Arabidopsis thaliana: one gene and its partner. The protein of the gene in region 1 interacts with the protein of each later gene in a pairwise test. Each region holds a gene or a part of one and is shown on either strand. Other genes may lie near its edges.

Region 1 (4,619 bases):
ATGCTACTACGTATTCGACGTTGTTGCCTGGTCTGTGTGATGCAGGGAAAATGGTGGAGGCTAAGAATATCTTGAAGAATATGATGGCGAAACACATTGCTCCAAAAGATAACTCGATCTTTCTTAAGCTTTTGGTGTCTCAGAGCAAAGCAGGGGATATGGCGGCAGCCACTGAGGTGCTCAAAGCCATGGCTACACTGAATGTTCCAGCAGAGGCGGGACACTATGGGGTTTTGATTGAGAACCAATGCAAGGCTAGTGCATACAATCGTGCTATCAAGCTTTTAGATACGCTTATTGAGAAAGAAATCATATTGAGGCATCAGGATACTCTGGAAATGGAGCCCAGCGCTTACAACCCAATAATCGAGTATTTGTGCAACAATGGCCAAACGGCAAAAGCAGAAGTGCTTTTCAGGCAGCTGATGAAAAGAGGTGTCCAAGACCAAGATGCCTTAAACAATCTAATCCGTGGTCATGCAAAGGAAGGAAACCCAGACTCTAGTTACGAGATTCTGAAGATAATGTCGAGGAGAGGTGTCCCTAGAGAATCAAACGCATATGAGCTGCTCATCAAGAGCTACATGAGCAAAGGTGAGCCTGGAGACGCGAAAACCGCACTGGACAGCATGGTCGAAGACGGGCATGTCCCAGACTCATCGCTTTTCAGGTCAGTGATTGAGAGTTTGTTCGAGGATGGTAGGGTGCAGACAGCAAGCCGTGTGATGATGATCATGATAGATAAAAACGTTGGTATCGAAGACAACATGGATTTGATTGCCAAGATCTTGGAAGCCCTCTTAATGAGAGGACACGTAGAAGAAGCCCTGGGGCGTATAGATCTTCTGAACCAAAACGGACACACAGCTGATCTGGACAGCCTCTTATCTGTCTTAAGCGAGAAAGGGAAGACGATTGCAGCATTGAAGCTGTTAGATTTCGGGTTGGAGAGAGATCTCAGCTTAGAGTTTTCGAGCTACGACAAAGTGTTGGATGCGCTTTTAGGAGCTGGGAAGACTCTGAATGCGTACTCAGTTCTTTGTAAGATCATGGAGAAAGGAAGTTCAACAGATTGGAAGAGCTCTGATGAACTGATCAAAAGCTTGAACCAAGAAGGGAACACAAAGCAAGCTGATGTTCTTTCTAGAATGATCAAGAAGGGACAAGGAATCAAGAAACAAAACAATGTTTCTCTATAGAAACTTGACAAAGTGATTCTTTCTTAAGTTATTCTCCTTTCATTGTTGGTTCAAGTCAAGTCAACAACTTCAGTTATCTTCTCCAAATAAATCCTTTTTTGAAACTTGTTTTGAAGGACGCGTTTGTATGATCATTCTGTGTTTTCTTTTTGGTAGGAATTGTATCGTTCCTGATTTAGTTTCTTAACCTCTTGAAAACGTTAAATACGTAAAAGATTTTTTTCGAAGATTTGTGTTTGGAACAAGAGTTGCATCTTCCATTGGCTGTTAGTAAAATATCTTATCTTCTCATAGATTTTTAGCTTCAGCATGAGACGTGCCATCTCCACTGTCCATCCAAAATTCGACGGTCCAGATCTCATCTCATCTATCATCACACTTCATATTATGACAAGTAGTTAGTAGACTGTCCCAATAAAATCACAACCAAACACAACTAATTTAAGTGAGAAAAGCACATAACTTTATCACAAAAAATATTTAGAAAAGTAAATACAATAAGCATACTAAAATGCAAAACGAAACAATTTGCGACATGTATTAAATTTTTTGTATATTACTACTAAACAAGCGAAAAATAAAATAATTCCTATCATTTATGTGGAAACAAATAGTTGCAAAGAAAATAAAAATTCTTACAAAAAAAACAGAAATCAGAATATTGAGCCTAAAAAATAGTTTGAGGTAAAATTACAAAATAAAATAAGTTTGAGATATTTGTGCAAAGAACTTAATATATTTATTCATTTGCCCCATAAATACCAAAGACACTGCATCTTATCTCCACTCTCAAAATCATCTTCTTCACCCAAAAACCCCTAAAAGCCTTATCCCTTCTTCTTCCCATGGCTGCTTCAGCTTCGTCTCTCGCTCTCTCTTCCTTCAACCCTAAATCTCTTCCTTTCGGCGTCTCCAGACCTGCCTCCGTTTCCCTCTTATCTCCTTCCCTCTCCTTTAAACTCAATTCCGACTCCGTTTCCTTCTCCATCGCCGCCAAATGGAACTCTCCCGCTTCTCGCTTCGCCCGTAACGTTGCGATTACCTCAGAGTTCGAGGTGGAAGAAGATGGTTTCGCTGACGTCGCTCCGCCAAAAGAGCAATCTTTCTCTGCTGACCTTAAACTCTTCGTTGGTAACCTTCCTTTCAACGTTGACAGTGCTCAGCTCGCTCAGCTCTTTGAGAGTGCCGGAAATGTTGAGATGGTTGAGGTATGGATTTAGGGTTTTCCCCAATTTGTGAGTTATAGAAGAAAGTATTGTTCTTTTAGGGTTTTTATTGATAAATTGATACCATTACTCCTTTTTTTGTTATTTGTCTTGTAGGTAATCTATGACAAAATTACAGGAAGAAGCAGAGGTTTTGGATTCGTGACTATGTCTTCAGTTTCTGAAGTTGAGGCAGCTGCTCAGCAGTTCAATGGCTATGTAAGAATATACTTCTCTACCTTACTCTATCTTCGATTGTTGAATATGAATTCACTGAGGACTAGCTTTATCTTATCTTGTTGGTATGCGTTTGTGTTTTGGTGTGTGTGCTTAATGTGTTTATGTTGTTCTATGTTTCTGTGATAAGCTGTGTTTGAATGCAATCTTCAAACTTGTGGCTTCTAAAGATAAAACTTGGACCTCTGTGTTGTTGTTCTTATTGTATTAGGGTTTGGTTGCTTCGGTTAACCATTTTGATGTGAATTTGTAGGAGTTGGATGGTAGACCTTTGAGAGTCAATGCTGGTCCCCCACCACCAAAGAGGGAAGATGGTTTCTCCAGAGGACCTAGGAGCAGCTTTGGAAGCTCAGGTTCTGGATATGGAGGAGGTGGTGGTTCTGGTGCTGGTTCAGGAAACCGTGTTTATGTGGGTAACCTCTCTTGGGGAGTTGATGACATGGCTCTTGAGAGTTTGTTCTCGGAGCAAGGAAAGGTTGTTGAGGCCAGAGTCATCTACGACAGGGACAGTGGTCGATCCAAGGGTTTTGGATTTGTGACATACGACTCTTCTCAAGAGGTCCAAAATGCCATCAAGTCCTTGGATGGTGCTGTAAGTATCTTTTGTACTCATACTTATACCAATATACACTTACATTGTTGTGATCAAATCAAACAACTCTTGATATACTTTTACTTGTGGCCTATAGGATTTGGACGGTAGACAAATTAGAGTCTCGGAAGCTGAGGCTAGGCCTCCAAGGCGCCAATATTGAGCACCAATCTATGACTTCCTATTCTCAAAAACGCATATTCTGGAGGGTATGATATTAACCATTGTACTTATAGATTGGCTTTTCGCACTAAACTACTTGATTACTGATGTATGGAGTTGTGAAATTGTAACAGGCGCTTCGAAGTAAAGAGGGTTTGTGAGATGATGGCAGTTTCAGACGGTACTAAGCTCTTAGCTTCGCCTATGTTTGTTGCCTTGGATGCAAGAAGGTCGTAAAGGAATGGTCTTTTTTTTTTTGAGAAACGTATAATTAAGATAGAAACTGGAGAGACCATGTTCTTGTCTGTCTGAATGCTGCCATTGACTGCTTCGCTTTGGTTTTGATTCAATTTTTTTTTCTCTCTATATCGTGGTCTCTTCTTCCTAATGCTTCTCTGTTTATTTGATCCTCTGCTCAAATGAATATGAACACACTTGAAAACCGGTTAAAACTCAAATCATGCAATGTTTAAAACCGAACCAATACTATTTGTGGAATGAACACTATCTTGCCAGTTTGTTCCATCAAAACGATATCATTCTTTGCGTTCAGCCGTGAGCCGTATAATTCCATTGATCAAATAACTAGCTGGTTCCAATTTGGGTAATCACAAAGCCCAAATGTTGAATGTAATGAACCATAGTGTCAAAACTCTCCGGTTTTGGATAGAAAGTAATTGCGATTGAATACTACGAAAATGGGCTTTTCTACATTTAGTCCATTAAGCTCAATTGGTCTGTCTCCTATGACATAGTATTCTGAGTTATGACTTAGATGCTGCTTACATGAAACTTAGCAAATGTATTAGATGTTGTTCGTTTGGGCCCAAACTGTATATGAATTTTTTTTTTTTTTTTTTGTCGACAACTGTATATGAATTTAGATGGTACGTCTGGATACAAATGATTTTGCATTAAAAGAATTTTAACATTATAAGTGTTAAAATAAGTGATTTTGGAGGTAATATCTTCATCCAAATCAATTAAAACATCGAAATATCCTCACAAAAATCATTCAAAATTCAGCAGCTAAAATTTTCAAAACATTGAAATGTCTTGGAAATTTTAGAAAACTATTTTTTAATTCATAAACATGTCTTGTTCGTATATAATTTACAATTTGACGTCAAGATAGAGTGAGATATTAAACGTGCAATATATTTTTATTTTGCAGAAACGTGAAAGATAAACTTTGGAAGCAGTTTATGAATTATGATGATGAAG
Region 2 (4,347 bases), on another chromosome or scaffold:
TTGTAATGGTAGCATCTCAACTTTAAGGTTAGAGTTGGAACCTTAAAGTTTATGAATATTACAAAACACTTGTATGGGGGTGGAGTGCATGAAAATTAGAGCTGGGATGTATATATGGGAATATATATGCACTACATTATCTTACATTTTACATTGAAAAAATATTAGAAGATATTGTTCTTCATTTATTTAAGTATATTTTTACTGCTGGTGTATTCTACTGCCCTATATATATCTCGAAAGTTAAATAAATTCATATGTTATATAACTTTTAGTCATTCGTGGCATTCTTCTGTTACATCTTACTGTGGATTTTTCGTCTTATTATCTTATAGCTGACTCTTACTTTAGAGAGACAAGTATACCACAATGGAAAGGGTGATTTGACGGTAAAAAAAGCGATTGCAGTGTACCCACAAACGACAATTTATAATTTGTATGTGGGATATATAGTAAGGGAAATAAAAATCATAGGGTTAAATAGAAAAAGTGAATGAAACTGTCTTGTAGTTGTAGTAGACGAATCAAAAGGACACGTAGATGGTCAAGATACGAACCTCAAAGCCTTTTCCCTCCCATTTAATGATTCTTGTTTTTGTTTTAATCTATAATTTTTCATGATTTTCTTAAGTCTTTGTTTTGAAAATCACGAACGAATAAGTTCTGATGGATGTACTTGAATATTAGTAACAAGACTAATTGAATTAAAGAAAAGAGAAGTTATTCCTTTGACGTTTATAATTTTCCGCGGCTAAGGGAACATATACGTTCCTTGAAACTGTTGCCATGCAACTTTTGCTTTAACAGTTTAGAGAGTTTTTTACTTCATGCTACATCCTTTTTCTCCTGACACACACAAGAGCATATTATACATCCATGTACCTCCTCCATCGACCATCAATATATAGATACATGTGATTATTAATTATCTACATAAAAAGTTATACCACGAAGTTGCGATTGATAATATGAAAGTGGTACATGCTCGAAATAGATAATGAGAATATATCAGCTTTAGTTGTCTCATCGTTAGTCAATCTATATGTGCATATACAGTTAACAAGAAATCTATAAGCATATACGAACTGGGGTCCCAATAAGGTCTAAGAATCTTTTTTTTCTTTTTTTCTTTTCTTTGCTTTGCTTTAGTTTAGTTTGTGAAATTTAGTGAAAATTTCATTTTGTCTCATAGAGAAACCACATGTTAGTCAAAAATTATATAGTAAGTCCAAGAAAACTATATTAATATACCCATATTACCATATAGTCGGAGATTTCTAGTATCTCTAGTTTAGTTCTTCTTATTCATTATCAATTCAAGTGTTATAAAACCTCGAGACCAATAAAATAGGATTCACTCTCCTTCGTGCCCCCAAAGATATAGGTTTACATATCTATATTTCCACACCACCATTTTAAAAGCAAGAGTTAATTAAAGAGATATTTTTTAGTCATCTTGGTATGTAATCTGGTAAACTTTTTAGTTTGTTATCTTGTATAAACAACCAGTAAGATTTTGGTTCTTTTGTAAATACTTCTCTTTGAATTTAGGACTAGTGTTTTAAAATTACTTTCCTCCCATATTTTTGTTTTGATCTTTCAATTTAAATTAAAAGTTCGTTTACAACCCATGCATGCACACTTCCGAATTTAAACTCGGATTATAATTTGGCACTATAATAATCTATTAGAATACGTCTTGATTAATTTTAAAATATTTAGGTGTCTTAAAATAAGTACGTACGTTGATAAATATGGAGATATATACATCTGTCAAGTAAATGGTATTGAATTTGCCAGTATTAGCTTTTGTGAAGCTGACGCAAAATGAAAACGGCTGATATCTAAAGCTTTAACCTTGTGTTTCTTTTTTTTGTTTAAAATAGTGGGGTCTAGAAATGATAAATTAATTTAAAGTCCTCGATATATATAAATAGATAAATTTGTTTCTTTTGGGAATAACGTAGTTTACGGAGAAACCCAAATGTTAAAGGGAAATGCATTAAAGCTGTAGCAAAATAAGAAAGTAAAAACCAATTGAAACCCTAATTTCACTTCAAAAAATGTTCCCGGTTGTTAAAGGAAGGGCCTTTTGCTTTGTCCATATAAATATATTGTGAGAGTACAACAACACCTTCATAAGCTCTTACACTCATTTCAACTCTCTTTTTCGTTTCCATTACCCTCAGGTAATCATAACATATATATAAGTTACATTTGTAGATACATATGTCTTTAGTTTTGTGTAATTTGTTACTTAATTATTATTTTCTATGGTGTTGTAGAAGAAGATGAATAGGCCGGGAGATTGGAACTGCAGATTGTGTAGCCACCTCAACTTCCAGAGGAGGGATTCATGCCAACGTTGTAGAGAGCCTAGACCGGGCGGGATCAGTACCGATTTACTCAGCGGTTTTGGTGGCCGTCCGGTTAGTAGCTCCTTCGGTTTCAACACCGGGCCCGATGTGCGACCCGGGGATTGGTATTGCAACCTTGGGGATTGTGGGACACATAATTTTGCCAATAGGTCCAGTTGTTTCAAGTGTGGTGCCGCAAAAGATGAGTTTTCATGCTCAAGTGCTGCTGCAACAACCGGGTTTATGGACATGAATGTTGGTCCGAGACGTGGCCTTTTTGGTTTTGGCGGCAGCAGTAGTGGTGGTGGTGGTACGGGCCGTTCTCCTTGGAAATCTGGAGATTGGATTTGCCCAAGGTACTTTTTTGTTTGATTGTTTCTATGTATTGATGTTATTTTTTTGCAATAATATGTTTTGATGGTTAAAACTTAAAGCCAAAAAAGAAACATGCATGCTGGCTTACGTAAGCTAAACACGACCGTTTAAATTGTATTAATGTATATGCATATCGTAGAAACTGATTGGTTTAATTTGTATATTATAGGTCAGGCTGTAACGAACATAACTTCGCAAGCAGGTCAGAGTGTTTCAGGTGTAACGCACCAAAGGAACTTGCCACCGAACCACCCTATTAGTCATTTAGTCCTCCTACCTTCTTCATCATTTCCAAGTACTTTTCGTTTCAACAATAGTCTTAACTTCTGATCAGAAACAGTTCGACATATATATTTGGATGATAGAATTTGTTAACATTTACAACTTTATTATATCGTAAAAGTTTAAATAGTAGTGTGAAATACACTAACGATAGTACTTTAACGTTAACGTACGTATCTTTTTGATTATTTTTTTTAGTACTCTGGAAGCATTAGAGGAGAGCAGAAAGGTGAAGAATCGAAGCAAGATACCGACCGCCCTTAATCTCTTGATTTGTTTAATTTCTTAGATTTGACTCGTTTTATATCTCGTAGTAGTCAGACCTATGTTAGAATGTAAGCATGTCGAGAGTTTTCCGAAGCATTTTGTTCTGATATCGGTCTCCTAGCTAGTATGTAAGTTTGTTTGAATGTATTCTTATTTCTGATAAAGTTGTTTCCTTCTGATTCCGCAATCACGATTCTCATCTAAGTTTGAAACACTTGAGTTGTTGAACGTACGAGAGGCTGAGAGCTGTTGAGAACTTCTTCTGTGGCCGCAAATCCAAATTGCATGCAAATGTTATTATATATGCAATTAAAATTTTGTTATATAATTTGTAGTAGGAATGTAGTTTTACGTTAAACCAAACACAAACTCTAGTAACCGTTTGAAATGGGTAGATGCATGGACCACAACGAAACCTTTTGTCCAATGCCTCAAAAAAAAATATGCATGAGCATTCATATTATGATGTGGCTTGGTGATAATGAGCTTACCACCAAATCGAATGAAAATGTATGAGTTCCACTCTAAAATGAGAATAGTTATCAGAAAATATTAATTATGTTATATATCATTAATTAGTTTAGAATTCTAATTTATTTTCTTGGTAACATTAAGTTGCAAAATTAATTTTAATTAAATACAAATACGGATTTCACTATATATTAAATTGCGTATTCAAGGCCATCTTTTCGCACATACATTCGAGCAGTCGAACAAAACCCATAAGAAGATTTTTGCAATGAAGTTTTGTCATAAACAACAATATTGCAACTGATCGATGACCGTTTCCTTAATTGTTTGTAATGGGTGGTATACTTAAAAATTTGTTTTCAAAATGTAAGTAAGAAAGAAAAAAATCAGTAACGCATTTTTCATATTTACCATTCAACTTTTGATCCTGCTTATTTTTGTACTGTTTGTTCCGTCTCGCAGTACTAATTAGAACTACACTTTTTTTGGTCAAAACACTAACTACATTTTTTTTGCTTGATCTACTACTCAATATATTTTTGTTTTTATCGCTCGTTCTATACTGCCACGTACGATTGAGACTCTAAAATAGAGC

What was found.
Region 2: the proteins of AT2G37220 (region 1) and AT5G25490 interact in a two-hybrid assay, tested with the Arabidopsis thaliana proteins (one large-scale study listed by BioGRID).

The regions. Positions count from the first base shown.
Region 1 is NC_003071.7:15,633,757-15,638,375, reverse strand, and holds AT2G37220 (RNA-binding (RRM/RBD/RNP motifs) family protein), read left to right. Parts: upstream 1-1,853; 5' UTR 1,854-2,044; coding exon 2,045-2,407; intron 2,408-2,521; coding exon 2,522-2,623; intron 2,624-2,894; coding exon 2,895-3,233; intron 3,234-3,330; coding exon 3,331-3,396; 3' UTR 3,397-3,442; intron 3,443-3,529; 3' UTR 3,530-3,910; downstream 3,911-4,619. Other genes in the region: AT2G37230 (Tetratricopeptide repeat (TPR)-like superfamily protein), read left to right, coding at 1-1,199. UniProt on the Arabidopsis thaliana protein: Could be involved in splicing and/or processing of chloroplast RNA's.
Region 2 is NC_003076.8:8,874,348-8,878,694, forward strand, and holds AT5G25490 (Ran BP2/NZF zinc finger-like superfamily protein), read left to right. Parts: upstream 1-1,973; 5' UTR 1,974-2,189; intron 2,190-2,285; 5' UTR 2,286-2,291; coding exon 2,292-2,713; intron 2,714-2,901; coding exon 2,902-2,992; 3' UTR 2,993-3,027; exon of another isoform or gene 3,028-3,212; 3' UTR 3,213-3,557; downstream 3,558-4,347.